Drosophila melanogaster: one gene and its partners. Changing the gene in region 4 together with the main gene of any one other region gives a genetic interaction. Each region holds a gene or a part of one and is shown on either strand. Other genes may lie near its edges.

Evidence for each region.
Region 1: of wit (region 4) and twit, changing one enhances a phenotype caused by changing the other (phenotypic enhancement), as found in Drosophila melanogaster (one study listed by BioGRID).
Region 2: of wit (region 4) and spin, changing one suppresses a phenotype caused by changing the other (phenotypic suppression), as found in Drosophila melanogaster (one study listed by BioGRID).
Region 3: of wit (region 4) and cmpy, changing one suppresses a phenotype caused by changing the other (phenotypic suppression), as found in Drosophila melanogaster (one study listed by BioGRID).

Annotation. Positions count from the first base shown.
Region 1 is NT_033779.5:20,850,855-20,857,643, reverse strand, and holds twit (target of wit), read right to left. Parts: upstream 5,067-6,789; 5' UTR 4,896-5,066; coding exon 4,826-4,895; intron 1,501-4,825; coding exon 1,288-1,500; intron 1,227-1,287; coding exon 1,009-1,226; 3' UTR 531-1,008; downstream 1-530. Other genes in the region: CG14400 (uncharacterized protein), read left to right, coding at 1-493.
Region 2 is NT_033778.4:16,123,294-16,128,020, forward strand, and holds the start of spin (spinster), read left to right. Parts: upstream 1-1,687; 5' UTR 1,688-2,083; coding exon 2,084-2,489; intron 2,490-4,727. Other genes in the region: CG30095 (uncharacterized protein), read left to right, coding at 191-404, 792-959, 1,022-1,284. UniProt on the Drosophila melanogaster protein: Probable sphingolipid transporter that plays a central role in endosomes and/or lysosomes storage. Involved in TGF-beta-mediated synaptic growth regulation both pre- and postsynaptically via its function in endosomal storage regulation.
Region 3 is NT_037436.4:20,713,198-20,720,766, reverse strand, and holds the start of cmpy (crimpy), read left to right. Parts: upstream 1-1,566; 5' UTR 1,567-1,773; intron 1,774-3,456; 5' UTR 3,457-3,621; coding exon 3,622-3,968; coding exon of another isoform or gene 3,969-3,972; exon of another isoform or gene 3,973-5,083; coding exon 5,084-5,214; intron 5,215-5,608; exon of another isoform or gene 5,609-5,614; coding exon of another isoform or gene 5,615-5,770; intron 5,771-6,234; coding exon of another isoform or gene 6,235-6,555; intron 6,556-6,607; coding exon of another isoform or gene 6,608-6,667; intron 6,668-6,889; coding exon 6,890-7,086; intron 7,087-7,155; coding exon 7,156-7,283; intron 7,284-7,466; coding exon 7,467-7,485; 3' UTR 7,486-7,569. Other genes in the region: CG34260 (uncharacterized protein), read right to left, coding at 5,615-5,770, 6,235-6,555, 6,608-6,667.
Region 4 is NT_037436.4:4,068,677-4,073,492, forward strand, and holds the start of wit (wishful thinking), read right to left. Parts: upstream 3,042-4,816; 5' UTR 2,733-3,041; intron 1,606-2,732; exon of another isoform or gene 1,507-1,605; coding exon of another isoform or gene 1,027-1,506; intron 965-1,026; coding exon of another isoform or gene 953-964; exon of another isoform or gene 813-952; intron 786-812; exon of another isoform or gene 693-785; intron 1-692. Other genes in the region: CG32259 (uncharacterized protein), read left to right, coding at 953-964, 1,027-1,506; Faa (fumarylacetoacetase), read right to left, coding at 3,409-3,755, 3,814-4,415, 4,476-4,693.

The DNA of each region.
Region 1 (6,789 bases), on a different chromosome or scaffold from region 4:
GAGAAACGTGACAGTTCGTCATCACCTGCAGGGTTATCTCATCCGCGAACAGATCCGCGAGCATCTGGAGACCCTCAACTGCTCTGATCTGTTCCAGCAAGCATTGCAATCCGAGGATCATGAGCTGGGCAAGTGGCAGTTGGCTATAGGACAGCATTCCCGTAAACTCCACTGTGTGTTTAAGCCAGACCAACTGACAAGGATCCTGAAGGCAGTGATTCGTCGGACGTACACCCTGGAGAGATCCACCAGGCTGGCTGCGCTTCTCTACCAGCTGTATATCGGCAATCGAGAGTCCTATGCTGCAATGGTCGAAGCCGAGTTGATGCTTTACGAGCGATATAAGAGTGGTGAAAAAAATAGCCAAGAATTCAGCGGATACATGGCTAAACTCTGGCAAAGTATCCAAATTGAGGAGTTCTATCCGGGGTTGGATCAAAACACAAAACAACGACTTGTTGACGCAATTATAGACCTTCTGAAATTCCTCTAAGTCCAACCCATTTATGTGCGAACTTTATTCGGTGATTCGGTTTTGTATATTCGAGTGCTTTAATACTTTGATTTTAAGTGTGTGTTTCTGTTTGTCTAGCTTCTGAGATAATTACATAGGTGAGGGCTTGTGTTCTTTACATTAAAATATCATGTTGTACATAGACTAATAAGTGAGTATTTACTGTGCTTGGGGGTTTAATCTCTACTGATTATTGTTTCATCTATTTATAATTTCTTTCGTTATGGTATTGTGTTGTTTGGTAAATGTTTGAATTGGATTTCATTCGGAATTTGAGCTTTGAGCTTGGCAAACATCGGCACTCGGCCAGGCAAACTATAAACCTATAATCGAACCCTAAACTTCCATTTGAATGTAAGCTAATGAGTGGGGGGCAAGTGTCCCCGAAACTAAGTTAATTCGAGCTAAACGCAAATGTAAATCAGCAACAGCTCGGCCCGAGAGCCAGGCAAAATATCACGTTCCAACTGAAAATCGACCTGGGGATCTTTTGCTTAGATGGCAAACTGTTGGATGAGGCCCGCGATGGGCAGGAGCAGCAGCATCTCCAAAATGGATGCACCTGCTAAGGCTCCGTTGCAGCGATCGGTGAGGCAGTCCTCGCAGAATATCCGCCGCACGTTCTTCTCCGGACTGGTGATGTTGCACAGCTCCACGGGATCTGATTTGTTGGTGTAGTAGCAGAATCGCTTGGTGATCAGCTTGCCATTATCTGGAATTTGTTAAGATTGCTTTCAATGTGTATGCGGAAGTGCCTCGGTCTGATTACTCACTTTCCTCCACGGTCTTGCGGCAAACGGCCCTCTCGTGATCGGAGTTAATGGTGCCGTTGCAGCTCCTTAGCAGATTTATATTCCGCTCCTTGATCAGGTCAGTGGGAATGTTGTCCTCCTGGAAGGTCACGTCGCAGAAGTCCTCCGCCCCAATTGTGTCCGAGCTACAGTGCCAGCACTGCAGGTGATGCTTCTGGTGCTGCTCATTTATGGCTGTAAATAAAGGGGAAGTAACTCCATCAGTTTTGACTTCAGTTGACCTTTCATGGGGTCATATTTTCCACCGAAAAGGAAACTTTGTTTGTGAAACAAATAAACACAAAAGAGGGTGACACAGTTTGGTGTGGCTTTCCTCTGTGGACTCCAGTCCGAGGTTGACATCATCATCTTCATGTGCCGCCCCTTTTGGGTCGCCCACTGCGAAAACGGAGAATGCGTGGGGCCAGTCGATGTGGCGCCTCATTCGAATTTTATTACGTATACGTAACCGAATTCTAGTTGTTAAAGTGCGGGGTAATTCGAAATTTGTGGAGCGGAGAATAAAGAATCTCTTGCTAAGTAGTGAGTGGAAACTGAACCACTACTTTAAATAATAAACTAAATAACTAAGTAAATTGTTCTTTTTGTACCATATATGCACAATGCCTTAGAAAAGTGGTAAGATGAGTCAAGTTTGTATGGTAAAGTACCATAGTTTACCAGTGATATTAGTACTTTTCACATGAAAAAATTAAATGCCAGAGGTATGTGATAGATTTGAAGCACAATGAACGACAAACAAAAAGTTTGTTTAAATGTGTTAAGCTTTTGCAGCCTGGAAGTCATTTTAATATTTTTTCCTTTTGTGAACATATTACTAGTTCGGTTTCTGTTTATTTTTGTTTCATAATAATTTGTTTTTCTTCAGTTCACCGCGTTCATTTCGCACATTAAAATAAATTTTCACACCTTTAACATAAGAATTCATATAACAAACTGTTCGGATGAGTCTCAACTATTTATAGAATTAGACAAATGATTTAATTAGTCCAAGAGCCTAGATGATGTGGGAAATGGGAAGGGAAACTCCTCTAATTGTGTTGATAAGGTTGCGTGATTTGGCGCGACAGTAAATCAAGATCGTCGGTCGTGTCCTTGAAAGAGTTTTGCATGTCCGGCCCTTTGAAAATGCCAGGACATGCCTGTTTACCACAGGAAAAGGCAAACATGCCACGAGTTCAGTTGCTCAACTAGAGCACCTTGAGGGCAAACAGTTTTGAAAGGGGTTTCTTAAAGGAGTGGTGGCTGTCAAATATTGACTATAACATATTTATAATTTTCCTTTCCCAGCTAAATTATAATATTACACTAGAGGTGGCGATATTACGTATACGCTCCGAAGGCTCCAGTTGCAGTGACCTTGGGATGCCAGTTGGTGGAAAAGTTTGGCAGTCTTATATTGACTGGACATATGCAAAATCCATTGCCACACCGTTTGTATTCTTTCGGCTCTTTTGTTCAGGGGTCTTTAGAACAGTTTCAGGTAATTGGCACAGTTCTAAGTTGGTGTAGTGTGGGTAATTGATTGTTTCCCACAGCTACACACAGAAAAAGTTCTTAGGCTTTCTATTCTGTTATCAAGGCTCATAATGGATATTGCAAAAGTTTATATCCTCAGTAAATATCCCTTTAAATAGTCCTAACAATTTTTATTTCCAGTGTCATCCAAGGTCGCCGTCCAATGGTTTTTTATCGCCCACGCTTAACACTCTAAAAGCATTCGCTGAGGTCACGCACATGGCCCGACTTGGTGTGGCTTCTTTTAAAGCAGTTCTGGGGTAATTGAAAGCTGAGACTTGTTTTGAAGGAAGTTGCACTCAACGGCCCTGCCTGGGTTCCTTTGGAAATATTCCGCCCTGAGGACCGACAACTCTGCCTTTGCATCAGCAAAAGCACCCCCATAGAAATGTAGCGCGAGAATAACAAATATAATACGATACGGATCGGATGTGTGTCAGGATAATCTCAACTTCCTGGCCGAAGGTACTCCGAAACTTTTATCTGCCTGCATTATCAGTTGGCGCAAATTACGCAATTCAAGTCGGGAAGCGCAGAGAACTAACCCCCAAACTGGCGGCCAGACTTTGACATAGTTTCCTGCCAAGTGTGGCTAGAGATTTCTGGGGGATGCGGGATGCCAGATGTCGAAGACAGCGGGAAACTGGAGCAGGCGACATCCTGGCGCCACTCTGACATGCGCACTCCCCGAATCTCGTAAACCCAGATTGAAACGCAAGCAAAAATAGAGCAATTAGATAATTGCAGGACACCGGGAATGGCTAATTGAGAGCAACAGGGGGCCGGAGCTGCTGCTTCGATTCACCGCCTAATGACCCAATCACAATGCCCATTTCTCAATCACCCTCATTAAAATCAGGAGCGATTCAAAGGCATTCAACGGGCCATGGAAATGTTGAAAATGCATTCGGCGTTTGGATTCTGTTTGGCAAATCATGTGGGCCGTTCCGAAATGACTGTGGAAATAAATATCGAAATGTCTGGCAGTCGGGCGAATATTTGTATTTATAGGGCATGCAGGTTGCCAATCATTGAAAAGCGTGAAAATTCTCGAAACGCGAATATGCACGTGTATATATAGAAACCGATGTCCATCAAGGAAGCAATGACCCACGAACTTGTTCCATACGCGATGAGGAAATGTGCAGTATATTATGAAAATGGATCAACAGAAATTATTTTACCTAACTTCGGGCATTTACTTACAAATCGGGATAGCTATACAAATTCTCACTTGAAAATAAAGCCTCTTTATTGTATAATTTTAAACTGGCCTAACTGCACGCAACAAATAATAGTGCTCATAATTTTCAAATGTCTTTTCTCTTTCTACACGTGTTCAATGCAAAATATACAAGTGAGCGCTTCTATATTTAAGCCCACATAGCCTCCTATTAATATTTCATTATATTCCACCCATCTTTTATTAATTTGTTTACGACAGATAAAAACAGACCCATCATTTTAAGTGTCGTCCATAAATCCGCTTTCGAATCGCGCGAAACATAAATTGCCAAGTATATTTTATGGATTTCACCTGAAACTTTTTTAGTTGTAAGCCAAATTTTGAGAATTTTTATAAACACCGCAAGGGAAAAGCGCTAAATGGCCGGCGGAAAAACTACATAAACAAATTGCGCGAAAATTGGAAACAAATTTCATTCATGGGCTCTGGGTCTGAAAACCAACACACCCCAAACTTTATGCGGATCCGTGACCTTGTGGGCCAGATGGAATTACAGGTGCACAGAAGAAAATTGCGGTCCAAAATTATGCTGGATTTCGAGTACATTTTGTAATTAAGCATAGTGTTTACTCTTAAAACCACAGAGCTTTTACAATTTTCTCTGTGCACCACGCACATTGGAAAAACTGGATAATTAGACCAACTTCTGGGGGGCTTTATGTTTACAAGGGGACTTAAGAGCGTTTCAGTTTGCCGATCGACACTTTATTATTTTCGACGTTTAACACATCTCACCTGTGATGTGCCAGGCATTGGCCAGCAAGAAGAGACCAGCCAGAAAGGCTTTCATCGGCACCGCTGACATGGCTTCCTTGGAATGTTAATGCGAATCTTTTGGGGGATGCGGAACGCGACTTGGTGGCGCCTCTGCTGGGTGGCGAATACTAGGTCCTCCGAGGGTTGGATGGATGGGCTTCAAATCGCTTCGAGAGTGCGCGCGATGCAGACGGTTGCTCGGCCGAGGAACGACTGTGGATGTTGCCGAGGCTTCTTCGCCAGAGTGCCAAAGTCTTGCTACTGAATGTTGCTGGCAGCGCAGTCGCGTCGCTGCCCGCACTGCAGCTGTTGTTGTTGCCTTGCTTCTGGGGAAACCCTTAGTCGCCACAGCACTTTTTTATTTCCTGCCGTATCAAATGGATGCCCACCAGACAGCCAGCCAGACTCACGCATTCGGCGGCTCTGTTCGTGGCCAGCGTTATGCCTTTTTTTTCGATTTCATTGAGGGCACAGCACACAGTGCAGCTCAATTGATGACGTTTCTTTTGGCAGCGTGTGGCTTGCTCGTTGTTTGCTGGGAAAACAAGCAACGTAAACAGGCTTAGATGGTTGTGCGTCTTTATTTATAAGTATCCGGATGTAATGTAATTAAATTACTATAACTTGTATATAAAAGTGGAAATTTTAAACATATATATTAATACCTACCATAAGCATATATCAAATACAAATAAAATATACATAGAAGATACTAGCATTGTGCATAATTTTGGTAGTTCATAACCAAGCTGACAAGGAATTGTACATCAACAACATTGTTACATCTACGCTCATGTCGGGGTATTGAATTTCAAATTTCATTGGCTACCCCGAAAATGCTCGAAATAGGGTTATGATGCAAGCAAGAAGATTGAACAACCCTTAAAGTAATACTTAAAGTAATTTTATATAATAATAAGAAAAAAGTACTTAGTTTATATACATATGTAGTTTGAAACATTTGAATAGCTGTGATATGAACCAATTGAATGGTGGCATGGTCACCCCAAAACAGAGTGGTTTGCAACTTCGCTAAGCGTTGACACAACGTCAGCCACAAAAAGCTTTTCCTCCCGAATTTTTCATTTGCAAATGGAAAATTTCAGCAGATTACAAGAAGCCTTTTTAATAAACTAAGCCACGATCGGTCAACGACACTGCTAAGGTGATTTAATCCACTCTAAACACTTCCCCCTCATTAGGCAATTGGTACATATATCTAGATCTGAATGCAAACAGCCATCATAAATGGTTAAATCACCAGCAACAAATGATTCATGAGTGCAGGATGCAGTGGCACAAGATTTGGCAAACGCAGCTCGGCGGAATTAGCCAAATTTGGCAACACTCCTACCAAATTGGCGACACACGCACCTGGCAGATATACGATTTCGTATGCAAATCTTGACACTAATCTGCGTCTCAGTTGCTCCTCCTCCCAGTAGTTCCATGCCCAAAAGTTGACAGAGCGTGAAAAGGCGCACGCACCCCCCAGTTCGCCAATGGAATCGGTTGGGTCGGATCGAATCGGATCGGAATGGATCGGGCCAAGAATAGCCGGGGTTAAGGCCTGATCGGTGGAAACCGCATTCGAGTCCACTGACTGCGCATGCGCAGCGATCAACAGCCAACAGCTGCCCTCCGGGGCGTATGCGTAACATTCGATTGTCGATTCTCAATATATTTTCCAAAGCGGCTGCGCCATGATAAATGGCCAGTTTTATTGGAAACTCTGTACGACATTTTCGCCAGCCAACAACACACGCCGAAAGCAGCAACAACAAAAATAAAACTAAAAGCCAAAACAAATAAAAGCCGTGCGACAAGTTTAAATGGCCAAAAGCCTAGCTGCCACCCATTTTATATATTTATTTTGCGTTATTTCACTCGATGTTGTAAGTGTTTTTCTTTTTTATGACAGCCTTCACATTTCGTGCCATGTG
Region 2 (4,727 bases), on a different chromosome or scaffold from region 4:
GAGTGCAATGAACTTTTTGTGGCTGGCAAATTGGGTTAGCACATGCAATGTATCCCTATTGCCTGGATTTATGTCAACCTCGAGCACAATTAAAATCAATAGAGAGCGCAGTGAAATCATTCAGGTGTCTGACAATTCCTGCAGGACATTCGTCAGTCACATTTATTGCTGGCTAGTGGAAAGTTCGACAATGGAGCTGCGTCGGAAAATCGCTCTGCATATTCTGCCCCTATTTTTAGCCATATTTCTATTCACCATGGGCGAGGCATATCTGAAGAGTGTCCGCGTGGATGAGATTCCCTTTGCCGGAAGAAAGGCCCTGGCCAATCGGCGGTCCAGCGGTATTCATCTCATCTCCAGTCTGGAGCATCAGCGCACTTTTCTTCATCTCTTCCATGTGCCCTGTAAGTTAAGCAATCTATTTCGCAATCGAAAGTGTTATATACAAGAATGGGCCATAGTTTTTCCACATTTAACTAGAATGTTCTAGATCAAGATCTCTGTATTTTGAACAAGGATTAGAACATAGGTTTCTGTGTGATATCTTCCCAATTTACAATAGTTCTTTTCAGTTTAAAAGACATCCACAACGCATTGAAATCATTTTAAGAGACGAATACGGCTAAGCCTAAAAGTATGCTATACTTTTTCACAATTTATCATATGTCGCAAGGAAACAATGAATAAACTTCTTTAGCAACTAAAATATTTAAATTTTTATCTCCTCAAGCATATGAATACTTTTATTAAGGCTAGCAGAATTACAAATCGCTTAAATTTTTACATTTCAGACATCATATGCTTTTATGCCGCGAAGGGCAAATGGCCATATGTGCCTGGATTCATGAAATACCGGGTTGACAATGCAGCTCGCAGTTTCTTCAATCAGAACGACAGTTTCATCAAACAGTTTTGCACCAAGTGGATTCAGGTGAAGGAGTGCTTTCGTCCCTTATTCGGTGGGTGGCAACTCTTTATGGAGTTCAGACATAGATTGACCTATTTAGGCACCTCTTTCCAGACAAATCAAATAACACAGATGTTGAAGTGGAAACGCTCGATGCAAAAATTCAGGGACAGCGTTGTAATTGTGACAAATTGTTGCTCTCAACGGAGCCACCTGTACCGGTCGTCTACTTCGACAAGAACTACATTGGAAACGTCAGTTCGGAAACGATTTTGAATACCATTGAGTTTCTTGAGAGTTTCCTGCCACCGCCCACTAAAAAACACAAGCGCAAGAATCGCGTTCGCGGGCGCGTAGATGATATGGATATTGAATAGAAATCGTTCTTTTTCATTCGCATATACCTTCGTAACGCACTTAGATTTTAATCATCACAATCATAACCAAAAAATCATCGCTTAAATTTGAATTCAAATTCGGTTGTCAACAGTTTTCTAGAGATAAGTGGTACACTATCTGTAATGCTCAGAATATTATGGCAAAATAAAAATTCTTTAATTAACAGAGCGCAACTTAGCTTGTTAATATAGATTCTTGTTCATGTTTTTGTATTAAATGTAAAAATATTTATTAAAAATTGCTTTAAATGTTTTTTATCGATAGGCATAGCTATACCGATATTAGTCGATAGATATGCAGCTGGTCTTAGTTTATCGATAGTACTATCGAAATTGTCATCGCCAATTGGATTCTGGTATATATTCGCGGTCGCCGGACGGTCACACTTATTGCACTTACTCCAGTTGGAAAGGCAACAGTGTTCGCGTCGCGGAAGAAACAAGAAAGAAAAACAGCGAGAAGCACTGCAAATGCATTGGCTGCATTTAAAGAACAACCGCGATTAGAGGAAGTGTCTCAGTACACAGTCGAATTAGCCATACAAATTGGCAAAAGTGTTATAAAAGAGAAGCGCGGTGGTGTGCCAACAGCCCAAGAGCAAATTCTTTTGCATTCGCTTTTGAACCGCTTTCATCGCGAGTTCCCGTTTCTCTGTGTGCGTGAGCAAAGAGCGTGTGCAAATAACTTTTTGCCGCGTTGTCCGCCTGCTGCGAATTTCCAACCGAAAGAGGACAGCGAGAGCGCGAGAAGAGAAGAGAGGATCGAGTGATCGGGTGAATGTCGCTGAAACACCAGAAGCAATCCTACCAACCGCTCCCAACGGCGGCCGCCATGGACAATCCGGCGATGATCCAGAGCAGCGGTAGCAGTGGGAGCAGCTCCTCTGAGGAGGGCGGGAGTCGTGAGGATGTGGCCAATCTATCGCCGCTCGGACTGCCTACGACCTACTCGTCACAGCAATTGATGCCCTCGGATACGGACAGCATGGAGGAGGAGCGGCACCGACTGCGTCCCCACCACCATCACCACCACCCACTGGGCGAGCACCACCACATCCCGGGCATACCACCATCCGCCGTCGTGCCATCGCGTCTCTCCAGCGTGGGCAGATCGCAGTGGTTCACCGTTACCGTGCTATGCTTCGTCAACCTCATCAACTACATGGATCGCTTTACGATCGCAGGTGAGTCCGGTGATACCTCTTTGGGTGTCCTATGGGATTCCATACGTTTTTTGGGGGGCTTGTTGCCGCAGTAGATAGGAAAATTTGTTGACACTATTGAAGAAGATTGCTATAGACCGCTGTAAAAATCACAACTTTTGTGTGACCAAAAGATTGGGCAGCCCAAAGCACTTATAGTATGTATTCATTTATATATCAGGCAAAAGAATAATAAAAACATTTAAATTGCACAAAATCTGCTGACAAAATCATAATGTTATTAATTAGCAGCCGCTAATCAACAATACTTGTGACCTAATCAGTTGAAATTTATACCTCATCGTCGACAATGCGAGTCGTCGCGTTCCCATTGTTTACAAAATGTACCATAAAGATTGCGAGCGAGAGAATTTGATTAGTGACTAATCTACTTACAAGTGAATCACGCGATCCAAAAATATTCATACAGAGCATTTTATCATTCGATTCGCTTTGCACCGAAACTCGGGACATTTCCACTGGGTGGGCAATCAATCAAGACCCATTTCGCCTAAACCTAAACATATGTATATTATTTCTAGCACTCAGGTGCGATAAAATGGAGTGAGTGAGCACGGCGGTGGCGGCACCTGACCTGCTTAGCACGGCGGGTAATGGTAGTTGCGATCGGCGATCAGAAAGTCCCCCGCCCGCGTGACAATTACAGGGTAATCTCATGTTTCAGTCGATAAATACAGACACACTGCCCACATAATTGTTGAGTTTATTATTATTAAGAACATTAGCGAAGGAAATTGATCTTAATTCATGCGGGCGGCATTTCATTGGACACTTGTTGAGTGCCGAAGTTCTTTTCACTGTTTACTTGTGTCTGGAAAATGAGACTACTACCGATTGCACTTGCACTTCGACTGGCGACATCTTAGTTACACAAAACGCGGTGCAAATCGATTGGAAACTTGTTTCAGGTTACATGGCGAAACAAGTTGTGACTGATTATTATACGTACAAGTCCGCCTCAGACGACCGTTTAATATGCATTTCTAAATATGTGTATATTATAGCTATAGTTTCGCATTTTCTTCGTGAACCTGAACAGCCAGTTCTTCCTGAGTCAGCAGAACTTTTCCACTCAAGGCCATGTGATAACGTCTTTTACTGTATGTGTAGTTGCAATTAATTTGCAATTATAAATCACTGGCTATTAGTTATCAGTTGATTGCCGCAGCGGCAATTGGAAATCGATCTTACAACCCTTTTTTTTCGGTTGCAAATCATAAGCTTTTGATTCGTGTAAAGCCACCGGATCGAGTGACTAAAAAAACATCATACGACTTTTTGCAACAGAACAGGAAGTGGAATTACTCACCGAAAAGGGGCGATAGCACTTACATACCGAGCCAAACAAAATCGCTGTTTACATATTATATTTAATATAAACACACATCGCTACTCGCCACTCGGAAATTTTCATTATTTCCATGGGCGCCTAATTGATTGTTTATTTTGAGAATTCTGCGAGCGCAAGGCGAAATAGAAAACTCATATAAACAATGGTCGGTCGCACAAGGTTTTTGTTTTGCCATTTCTGCCAGTGGCATTGTTATCATTATCAACCCCCCCCCCACTTTTTTGGGCCTTATCAAGAAGTGGCTGAAACCAGACGCGCTGCATAATCAATTGCATTGGATCACCAGCTGCAGTGCACGTGGTGTTTTGGGTCACTTTTTTGCAGTGATTAGATTACCAAGCGATTATTTGTTTAGCTTCTGCTAACTGACTGCTCTGATTGCTTGGCCCTTTTGTATTTAATGTGAATTTCGGCATTTGCAACGTTTCCGTGTGGTTGTATATAACAAGCAAAAATACATGCATACATATGCATATATTTATTTGGCGCACATAGACGTGTGTATCAGCTGATGTCTGCCCAACCTAATGGAATGCATTTAATTATAATTTTAAGTGCGTCTCGGCCTTTGGCTTCGACCTCCGACTTTGCTGAAATTCGCCTGGTTTTTTAAGCTAAAACCGACCGACTGACGGTAGTGGTGTGATGTTTTGTAACCACCTCGTTCGGTCAAAAAAAAAAAAAAAACACTGGGAAGCCCCCCTCTTCATTCATGATCGTGATCTGTGTGAGGGTGGATGGGAAGGGGGGGGCGGGGCTATTCTGTTGTTGACAGTAAATTCAATTTCTGCACCGACAGCGAACTTTGATCATCGCAAAAAGAACTGGCATTTATTTTGGTCAACAGA
Region 3 (7,569 bases), about 17 Mb from region 4:
TATTCTTGTTTCCTGCTATTTTGATTTTCATTTGTATAAACTCTATTCCATTTAAAAATTATGAAGAGGAACTTTTTATGGGCTGTCAACATGTTGTTTTAAAATATATGCATATATCTTTTTTATCTTAACCGAATGTTTTGATTCCCACTGGAATGCCGCATTGATTACCAATTTTTTCCACACTGCACCGATTTTTTCATATTTTCGTTTCAGTTGTTTTTTTCACCATTTTTTACATTTGGTGGGTTGAGCGTTTTCTTTACGTTCCATTATTGCTGTTGAAAAAGTTTGCCCGCTCATAATTCCCGATTGCTCTTTTGCTCAATTGTAAATCGGAGGGGTGTTGGGTGGATACTCAGTGGGGGCTTCGGGGATGGGTATATTCGGCAGCCCCGGTCCACAGTTGTTTTACGCAACATTTACTGTGGCATCGGACGCATCTTCGGTGGAAATTTTGGTGGGGTGGCGGTGGGCGTACGTGGGCACCCACATCTCTGGAGCTCGGACTTGAACTCTCTCGTGTTCTTTTAGACTCAAACGTCTGTTTTACGCTAATTGGAAAAGTTGCAAGTTTTTTGCCTTGCTTTTTACCAGTAAGGGGGGCTAAATGGCAGGGGGCGGACTTTACTCGATAGGCCCGTGCGGTGTGTGGCTTTTATTGGAGGCAAATTGCTTAGAGCGATGCTTATTAGCAGCTGACACGGCTGCGGCTGTCTCATCATCAAAGTTGCGGCCTAAACTGCGAGCAGCTTCAAAAATACGTATACAAAATAATCACAAGACAAACGACCTGACTTTCATACTTTTAAATTGGCCATTAGCCCGCTTTCGCGATAGGCCCTGTCAGAGAATCTCGGCTATGCCCTTCCCGAAATCAGCTTAGTCTTAAGCCCCTGCATCCTGCTCTTTATTTGTAATTATAATAAACAAAAATGACTTTATATTTTGAAGGATGTTTCTGCATCCGCTGTTTGCTCTCGTCGCGCCATTATCATCAAGAGCTCTTCGCTAACGCGGTGTTTATGCGGCGCCGGAAGTTGTGATTTTAATTTCGGGTAATTAACTATTTAAATTTAAAATTTAATTCAAATTAATCCATGTCATAGGACTGTCTAACAAATTATATCTAGCCAGATATAAAATATAAATATAAAATATTTACTTCCATAAAAAAGTTAAAAAAAAAAACCCAAAATAATGATATATTTTTACGAGAACTTAATATTCGGTTGCATCTATAAACATATGATAGGGACTAAGACTTAAGATTACCGTTCAAAATAAAAATGGGAAATTTTTCTCATACCCTCCTTACGGCATCATTTCGAAAATTGCCACCGTGTAAACCCGAATTTCAGAAGTACTACGAGGGTCCTTCGCGGGTTGCGTCTGATGACTCTGCCTTCCAGGCTCAACAGCGAGAGCGCCTGCGTGGTGAGAGGAAATAGTGGGATATTCTTCTGTGGGACACCAGAAACAAGAACAAAAACACTGGAATATCCCGAAATCGGAGCGATATATGTCCGTTCTGACTGGCAAATGGTCTGTGCAGCGACGGCGGCAGCAGGTTAGTTCAGTCTCTTGCCTTAAATGGCCGCGTGCGGCAGACAAAAGCGCATGAAAAATTCATTGGGAACCGTCGGAACCGAAAGTTTAGCGTCAGGATAGCGACAACAACAAGGACCACGGCACTACTATAGCGAATATAGTATATCGAGTGCTAGTCCTAAACGTCTATCGTTAGGTGTAACGAGGTGTGCTTCTGTGTGTGTGAGTGTGCAGTGTGTGTGGAGGATTTGTGACTGTGTCAGTGGCGTTGTTAAAAAAAAACACAACAACAATTGAATGCCAAATTGAAAGTGGTTGACAGGCAACTGGAAAAACAACAGCCAAGGCAATAGCTTCGAGTGTCCTTTCGGCCAAGGCAAAGTGAAAGCAATACTCATCCGAAAAATAGAGAAAATACACAAAACAGCGATCAAAAAGCAAGTTGCAATTGCCGAAAGCCTATTATTTTTCCATTGATTTCCCAGCAAATAAAGTGAGCAACAATTCCGAAAATATGTTGTAAGCCTGGACTCTTCTGTTTCATAGTGAGTGGGAGTAGTCACAGAACATCAAACGTTTAAATACAAATTAGTATGGCATGTGTTCCAACAAATTCGATTTCCCCCTCATGCTGTCTCTTTCGCACACGCGTCGTTCCGTCTCTTTCTGTGTTAAATTTTCAACAACTTTTTGGCATGTGGCATACTTTTTCGGGTTTCGTTGAAATTAATTCCCGAAGTTCTGTTTTCTGTTTCGATGTATTTTTCTTTTTCTTTTTTTTGTTTTTGTTTTATTTTTTTTGTGGTGTATGGGCAGAGAGTTCATTTTCCAGGCTCTGATTTTGGCCCGTTTTGGTTAATTAAGCCAGCGAAGTCGTCGAAGTGCGATTTGAAGCCAGCTTGAGCAGACATTGATTAAAAAAATGTCGATGGTGTCATCAAGTTGAATGGGAAAACTTTAATTGGGAGCAACGGTTGCGGAAACTTTTTCAAACTGATGGACAAATACGTCGAGCTTGCTTTCAAAAATGACTTTTTAATTTGAATCTGATTAAGTTTCTGTAAAAGTTTTCACAGTCAATTAAAATACATTTTCTGTGGAAAGGAAGCAATACATTGACCTTTACATATTTTTTGATGAACAATGTTTTTCTGACATCAAAAAGGCTTTAATTCACTAATCTAAGAGATGGCTAAATGCTGTTTGTATGTAAAAGTCAATTAATTTGCTTCTGCGAATCCGTTTTAATTTAAATAAGTTACAATGCGATAAAAATGCAATAAGGATTATCTCGCAACCACTAAGGTTAATTAATTAGTTAATATTTTTTATTTAATTCAATGCCTTAAAAAGTTTAATATTAGATATGTTTTTTTATACATGTACATTGTGTCTGTCAAAACTCCACTTTCGCTTTATTTCATCTGAAAGTTTTGTAAGCCACTAATTGCTAATTTATGGCCCAACACGAAATTGGTAGAAAGCTATGAACTTAATTTAATATTTTATTTATTCCAACGCTCGAAAACTTAAATACAAACTCCTTTGTGAAAAATTACATTTTTTTATAACTAAAAAAAAGAAATGGAATAAATTGGGTTTTAAATAAAATGTTGCTCATCAGAGTTATTAATGAATAATTTGATTGGCGCATAAAGTGTCACCGTTTTGGGATATTTCAATTTAGCGAAACACATTGCGGAACCATTTTACAAATTTATGACCATCGAAAGTAGGCAGGCGTCAATGAAATTTTAATGAAATTAGACCGGCAAGCGATTTCCGCAATTTTACAATTTTCAATTGTAAAACGCCAATTCTGGAGCTATTTGGGGATGGGTCACAGAGGTCCTGTCCGCAGTTTATGGCATTTTAATCATCTAAGAACGCTCTTGCTCTTTGCAGTCAACATGCAAATTGCCTGCGCCGGACCCGCAGTCGAATCCAGGGCCAGAATCCTTGCCAGGCATCCTCATCATCAGCAGCAGCATCATCATCATTGGAGGCAGTGGAACGCAAACGCACCGTAGAGCCAGCCAACAGGGCGCAATAAAAATTGCCTTTCGATAAATGGGCGGAAGTGCCAGAGGCGTGGGGCGGAGGGGCGTGGTCCTGGAGCAGGATGTACGCACAAGGTCGTCGCAGGGGGAGCGAAAGAGGGGGCTCGCTGGCAAACAGCAGCACAACAATGCCAAGCTTCCGCTTAGGATGCGCTCGAACGGAAGTTATTTTGGCCGCCTGAACGTGAGCGCGCTGCTCATCTACTTGTGGTGCTATCTGCTACTGGTTATGGCAGCATCTGGCGGCAGCAACCACGTGGTAAATGGCCTCAAATGCTATTGCAATCCGAAGGAGTGCGACGTGATCCGCTCACCCGACTGCCCCGGAAAAGGACTTATGCTGTGGGATCCATGCAAGTAAGTCCCGCTCCCAGAGCTCCAATTAAAATGATATTTTCCGGCCTGTACATGCCATCCATTTTGTATGCGAATCAAACGAAGAAATTGATATTAGGATTTATTCCAGCGGTCAGAACTCTGTTTGAAATTTTCATTTCGATTTGGTAATCTTTTGACTTTTGGTATAATGGAATAGAATTTTCTGTACGGTAGTAATCATAAAATCATTCTATGATTTAATTATTTATAAAGTGTTCCATTTTGTTTCGAGAAATAGTCTTGTTATCAAACCAATTAAATTAATTTTAAATTTCGGTTTGTACCTTTACCAATATTTTTGTTTCCAACATAAATTGGCACACTCTAAATTAGGTTTATTAGGTGCACAAAGCTTTGTTGTTTTGATTGCCTAACACACGAACGGGCTTTAATTTCCTTATATTAACGTTGGTTGAACAATGGTGGTCAAAACAATAGAAAACAATTTAATAGTGTGTCATCCTGATGCTTTGATGATTACCCACAGGATTATCAACGTTTCTATTACATGTATACATGTATATATCAAATTATACTTGTGTTAAACTCCCATGATTTTATGATTGATTAAACTTATTAATTGTTTACATGTTAATAGGAAACTACAGCGATAATTTTAATTATAACATTCCATATTAGATCCGTGTTTGATATGGATATTGTTTTGAATCGTACCTCATTTATCGTTAACCTATTATAAATTGTTTGGTTTAAATGATTCGCAGAGACGTTTTTACTAACTATTTCCTAACTAAGCATGAAATGGTCACAAATTCATAAGCTCACCACGATCTTAATAATTGGCATTGATATAATTAAGAGCGTCAGACATCAGAGTGTCTCCTTCGAATTCCAACCCAATTCGCATCGTGAGTGACTGATTGGACTAATGGACTGATTGGAATTCACATCAGGCATCGTTCTCCTCATCTCACTCCGAGTAGAGAGTGTTAACTAATTGTTAACGTTTATCGAATCGAAGACGGAATCTAATCAATTACTACTGGGATTCATTCCATCCATAGTCCATTGCGAGGATTATGCCCACATCTATTTATTCTATATGTCATATACACACCTCCAACTATTCGCAGATGTTGCCGCATATGCGCCAAAACTTTGGGCGAATCCTGCGGCGGTCCGGGCGGATTTTCCGGTCAATGTGAGCCGCCCCTGCAGTGTGTGACCAAGCTGCCCATTAGCAGCGGATTGGGCGTGTGCATGGGTGAGTCCTTAGTTTTATGTACACACTACAAATGTGCACTCAAAAAAAAAAAAAGAAGAATATTCCGTTGTACTTTAATTTATGTATACATATCTAAGAAATACCACCTTTGATCAAATAAAAGACTTTTTATTCATGTTAAAATTTCTTCTAAACTTGTGGATTGGATTTTGATATAATAATAAGGATGTTATTATTGATATTGTATTTATTTGGTACATTTAAAGCTATTAATATATTACAATATTATTTATCGCTGGGTCAAAAAAAGTTTTTTCCAACGTGCATTTAGCACTTGTAAAAATAATAAAAAGGGTGTATGTGGGGTGGGGCACCGGCTAGCTGGTTATTGTTGGGTTATGGAGCATTCGTATTTAGTCGCATCCATTATGCATTAACATCACGTATTATAGACCACAGCGCCCTCAATTGATATGTCCGCAACCAGTTCGGATCGCTTCAGCAATTTCAGTCGCACTTGCCATTTGGCCTGCGGAGCTCCTGGCGGGAATTCGTCCGAAATGAATGTATAGTTGCGGATCTCGTACAGTTTTCCCTGCATAATTTGATGGCATCAATTCGGGTTTTGTGTATAATCGTGTTTGGGGAATTAATGCGTCCCGCTTGTGCAGCAATTTGCAATGAAAATGGAAAATGGTAAATGAAATAACTGCAGAATGTTGTTCAATTTTAACTAGTTTCGTTCGACGAGAGTGCCACAACACGAAATGTTGACAAATATTTGCTTTTATTTATTGAAAGTTGAATCTCAAGGGAAAATATTTGTCTTCATTCTGCTGTGCAGGGCAGGGGCAAAGTTTGACTAGTTCCAAAAAACAAGCGGAAGTCTTATTTCATTAAATTTCTTTCCTGGCTTGTTGTCATCGTTTTGATAAGAGCTGAAGTTCTCAAATTGTAAATATAACTGGAAAGCCAATATTTCTTTAACATATTACGAAAAATATTTCCAAATCTATAACAAATGAACAATGAAAGATTAAGGATGCATACGTCACTAACCTTCGAAACAGGACAGCTGTCTGGTAAATTGCTGACCGACTTGAGCCTTTTAAACAATTTGCCAACGATGTTGTTTTGGTACATTGAGCCCAAGTATTTGCATCCGTCTATCTTGATATCGGCTATATTCATGCGGCTTTTATCCTTTTTTATCAAATCAAATGTTGCAAGCACGTCGAAGTGCTCGATGGTTTGATTTAAACTGAATTTAACCGCTACCACTGCAGTCCTTTGTCGCACAAGTAGACATTCCAAGCTATTGACATATGCCTTGGCTATAATTTGGCAGCCAAGTGTTTTGATCGCAATGTCATAGTTGTTCTGGCGGGTAGAGTTTCTTTTTAAAATATTAGGCGGGGCAAATACAACAAACCTTTGCCAGTCCCAATTGAAGAGGTAGAAAAATCAGGAAAAACGAAAGCCGGGCCAGCATTATGCCAAACTAAAGCGAAAAATTAGATTTGGGTCGGCTTATATAGGCCTCGCATAATTTAAAATAAACGCCACCATAATCTGTTTTAATGCACTAAGAATCAAAGTTCATTGTGGGGCTTAATTACCATTTAATGTGTGATTAATACGACCCAGAAATACTCCCCTTTTCACCGATTTCGTGTTAATAACCGCATTTGTTTTGCTTGTGTTTTTGCAATAGATTTGCAGCACCTGACCGCCCTGACCTACAGTCAGCACGATAATTGTTCCGACAGCGATTCGATTGTTTTGGAGCCGGGCTGCGAGATCACCAACAAACGCTGCCAGTGCTGGCCAACTATGCGCACCTGTCTCAGCGAACTGACCAGCGATGGGGGATCCCCCGACGACTCTCGCTGGCACTTCAAGAACCTAGAGGTTGGTACACAAATCATACATCCACACACACACAAATTTCCCTTCTAATACGCCTTGATTTCCCGACAGGACTGCCAGTTGAATCTACAAAATCTAATAAAACTCGAACAGGAATTCGATGAAGACTACAAAATCTCACCGAGCAAATTCACATACAAAAAACTACGCAGAAAGCGAAAATCTTTAAAGAAACGAATGTAACTAACTAACTAATAACCAAGGGCTTGAAATCATATACAAAGGTGTCCAAAAGTATGCATATGCTAATAAGTCTGTGCTCATTAGCTTATTGTGAACTTTTAGATACCTTTATAATGGGCTTCAAAGCTGAAGTGATTTCACTAATTTGTATTTAATAGCGAAATTCCCTTTTTTTTTAGCATCATCTTGAAGGATTGAGCCCTGAATGCGCCATTGCGACTTTCTGCGTTCCCAGCTCTTAACTCAATAAAACAAAATGAGGAATCTCTGTACAGATAGTAT
Region 4 (4,816 bases):
TGGAACCGATTTGGAACCAGGCGCCGCCAGAATAGGAATCATTTCACTTGAGGCTCGATTGCAGTGTGGAGCATCTAGATGGAACTGCGAGAATATATTTACACAATTGTGTACCCCTATGAATGAACTACCTTTAATTTATCCCCCTTATCATCCATTAACGAAAGGTACATATGTACATATGTATATAAGCACGCATTCTTGAAAACACTCCACCTCACACTCGTTTCCCCCCTGAATGCTGATTAGAAATTTTGCCGTCATTAATTATGTGGCTGGTTAAAGTTATTACGCTCCAATTATAGGATACGTTAGCTTGTCTTATACATATAAATACATATGTATGTACACACTGGCAAATAAAAATGTGTTTATACCTAGCTGGTAACAAATTTGCATCGGCGGCATTTGGGTTAATTGTGGGTGACGAGGCATGAAATTTAAGCCAAGATAAGCAATTTATCAGACAGTTCAGGATAGACTTATCATGCGATTACGGCTATTGTTTATGGCATTTTCCATTCAAGAAATTCATGCAAGTGAATCAAGAATGAAAGCAAAAGCGCGATATGTTGATTTACAAAAAATCTAGCATTAAATAAATACTAGATTATTTCGCCATAGATGGTGACAACTCTGGTAGGGGTTGATGAACTGTCAAAATGTTTGACAGTTCCTTTTGCCTGAAACAGCTGACCAACAGCTAATAGAATTATTCAGCAATTTTTGCAGAGAACGATTCGATTCGATTTTGTGGGATTGCTAATTTTATTATCCAGCACGCTGTAAGTTACTTGTCAAATCGATATCATAGAATATCCAACTAACTATTTCATTCTGAACTCGAATGTCATGAGTGGAGAACTTGTGTTCGTTTACTTCATTTTCTGGATTGCAGTGAATTTTATTGGCTTCGTCATTGTGCTTAACTATTTTGCAACTCTTCAGAAAGATGAATAAGATGGTATGTTGTTGGTTAATTGTGTCCTGAGTGCATTCATATTCCATTTACCACATTTCATGCAGAACCCAAATCGTAGCAATAAGGATTCGGACACCACTGAGGATTCCAACGCGAAGAAGAGTTTGCAAATGGATTCCGATTCATCAGACGTGTCGAAAGATTACTGTGATGGTTCAGATGAGAACGAGGAGTCCGACCCATCATCAGGTTCCTCACAGGATTCGATAACTGAAAAATTAGCGAAAGCCATATTAGAGGCCAATCTAAGCGAGGACTCTGACTCTTCATCGGGTTCTTCAGAGCACTCTCCAGCTCAAGAAATACCAATACCAGAAGCCTTGTTGGAAGTGGATCCAAATGATCAGCAGTCGGTTGTCAATGCAGTCGGACTTTTGGTTAACATGATTAACTCCAAACTGGATGCTATCATGTCGAAAGTCGTCCCGCAATCACCACTTGATCTTGTCGACCTCGTCCGCCAGAAAAAACTTTGGAAGATGCGTCAACGCGATAAAGCCCAGTTGAAGAAAAGCTCCGAATAGAATATTTTCTGTTCCTTTTCCATTTTCGTACAATATTTCTTGTATCATGATTATAATAATGTTCAATTTATAGAGCAATTATAATTTCGAAGGGACGCTATTTCTGGCCTTTCTTTTCTCCCATTTCGCTTCTGGTTTCCTCTCCTTTCTCCACTTTCAGCAAATGCGCACATGAAGAGAACTCAAGAAGCTAGAGAGCGGTGTCTCTGGCGCGCCAAAACAGGTTCAACTGGCGCTGTCCCAAGTGCTCCGTGGAGTGGGCCGAAGGAGGACCCGCGGGCGAGGAGGCGGAACCCGCCGGCTGCTCTCGCACGATAGCCGACGGCGCCAGTTAATTGCAAATACTGCTCGATACCCTACACTTGTCAGGGTGTACCCAACACGCTCTAAAACTATCTTGCATTAAAATCTTGCACCAATAAATTTTCCTAATACTTATGAATTAAGAAAAATCACATTGTAACACAGGAACCTATGTTAGTTTATAGTTCGTTTTATCACAGGGTATAAAACTGTCTTTAGGCTCACATTCTCCTTCGCTGTTAGTGTGTTTTGGGCCCCACCGTTTTGTTGTTCTTTGGGGCCTGATTAACTTTTTGCGTGCTGCGTGTGCATTTGTCCATGTCCCCATCCTCAGACACATCCGCGCCATTCGGGGGATACATCTTCGTGCTGCAGATGCATTTGGCCAAACTGCGACAGTCGGTGTAAAAAACGATGTGGAAAATCAATGCAAAAACACAAAAGTGCATGCAGTCGGCGGAGGACAGCAAGAACAACAATGGCGAAGGGAATTTGAATGGGTATGGATTCGGAGGTCTCTTGTTGACTTCATTCCACACAGTAAACAAATGGGTTGTATATTATTTTATAATGTATCCAAAATACGAATAATTTCAATGGCCCCTTGATCCTACTACTCGAACGCAATTGTTCTACATACATATCTTTAAAGAACATCCATATGCATACTATGTGATAATGTGCAAAAGATATTAACATTTCTAACAGTGCATGTGTACTGTGAGCAGACAGAGTGTTTTCTGCCAGGGTGGGTGGCCCACCCCAACCCGCCGTCTGCCCTTCGCTAGTCAGCGTATTTGTGTGTGTGTACTTGCGCAGAGTGGAGTAAAAAATTGATTTTTCCAAGACATTCAGCGTTGTTTGCGGAAAACATTTGCACTATTCTGCACTAATTTTAATTTCAATTTGCGAGCAGCACTTACACTTAATTCAGGGCGCTATTCAACCACTGCACTTGCACTTTAAGTTGTATTACTTATTTATTTCTTTTGTTTTAAATAACCGAAAGAAGTTGCACACTCGTCGGAAAATTTATTATTGGGGCACCGGCGCCAGTCGCGTCTGCTTTGCGCTGCACGGCAGCTTTTTTTATTTCTACGCTTTTTAGAGGCTTTTTTATGGCACTTTAAACAAGTTTGCCCGATAGGCGGGCCGTTTTGCCTTTCTGCCGTTTTGCCGTTTGACTTTTCGCAGCGCGCCCACCTTCGCCCGCCGACTTTCGAGGAATGAATGCGGTTTGCTGCTCCGCTCAGCTATGCTCCCATTGGCGCTCTCCGCTCTTCTCTGCAGCCAAAGAAGAAGCGGCGTGCGCGTATTTACGAAGCTGCGTGGAATGGCAGAGGCTCCGATTGGAGCGAGAGTTGTGTAAACGAAAGAGAGCAAGGCATCGTAGCGAGAGAGCGAAAGAGTTGAGCACTTGTTGAGCTTATTACTGTGCACCGAGAAAAAATATTACGTATACGCTACTATGGATGGCCATTTATCCCAAAAAGTATGCTTTTGAACGAAAAGTTGAAGTTTTCCGAACATCATAATGTATTGACGTATCCAGGAAGACTGAATAGAATTTATTTCATTTACTTATGTTAATAAGTGGTCCTACTGCGGAACGGGGTGGGCAGGCAGCACCTGACCCACACACTCCCCGAATCCGATTCGCAGTCCGTTCTTTTCGCAGTGGCCACGGATGATGACCTCGTCAAAGTCCTGGAGGAATTTTCTGGTCTTACCACCCGGAAGCTCCAATGTTTTGGTGCCCTTCCAGCAGAGCTCTAAAAGTGATCCGTACGAGTCTGGAGTCTCACCGGAGATCGTTCCGGAGGCCATCAGATCACCAGGACGCAGATTACAACCGGTGACTGTGTGATGAGCGATTTGCTGCAGTGGAGTCCAATAAAGGTGTTTGAAGTTCGACTTTGAAATAAGCGCTTCGTTTTGATCGGCGGCTGAGAAGGGGAAATTTTGTGAATTAACGTAACAAATCTTTAACAGGCGGCAACTTACGTTTCAAAGACACCTCGAGGTTGATATCAAAGTTAAAGGGAATGTTCTGGCGCAGATAGGGAAGCACCTCCGGTTCCTGAGGAAAGTTGTCCAAGACGAAGGGCTTCAGGGCAGCTGTGGGCACTACCCAAGGGGAGATGGTGGTTCCCAGATTCTTTGCGGTGAAGGGGCCCAGTGGCACATATTCCCACTTCTGAATATCCCTGGCACTCCAGTCGTTCATCAGCGTGAAACCGAACACGTTCTTCCAGGCCTCATCCACGCGTATGGGTTCACCCAGCTGATTTCCCTTACCACCGATAAAGAAAGCCATTTCTAGTTCGAAATCCAGAAGCTTGCAGGCGCCAAAGACGGGCTTCTCTGCTCCATCGGGAAACGTTTGACCAAGAGGACGACGGATGGGAGTACCGGAAACCACCACAGAACTTGCACGACCATGATAGCCCACCGGCAGATGGCGCCAGTTGGGCATCAGAGCATTGTCTGGTCCACGGAACATAATGCCGACATTGGTGGCATGGTGGATGGATGAGTAAAAGTCTGTATAGTCACCAATCTGTGCAGGCAGGTGCAGCTTGATCTCAGACTGTGGCACAATGGAACTGATAAATAAATAAATTATTAACTATGAATAATAAATTATTATAATAAATCCGACTTACACCGCCTTCAAGTCCACATTGTGGTCCAATTCTGAACCCTTCGTCAATAGCTTTTGAGTCTGGCTTCTTACCACATCCCAAGCTTCAAAGTCCAATCCCATAAGCTCATTCAAAGTTTCGGCCTGCAGGCTTTTCTGAACTTGGAAAGGAAACAACTGCGAGACAGCTTTCAGGTCCAGGACATGCTCTCCAATGGCCACACAAATACGGTGAACTTTCTACGGATGGTAAGATGAAAAACACCATTTACGATATACAAATACGATATATGATATGGGGCCTTATCAGAACCTGGTTGCTGGGGTATTAAAGATTGGATTAGCATATTGTTTTCGTAAACA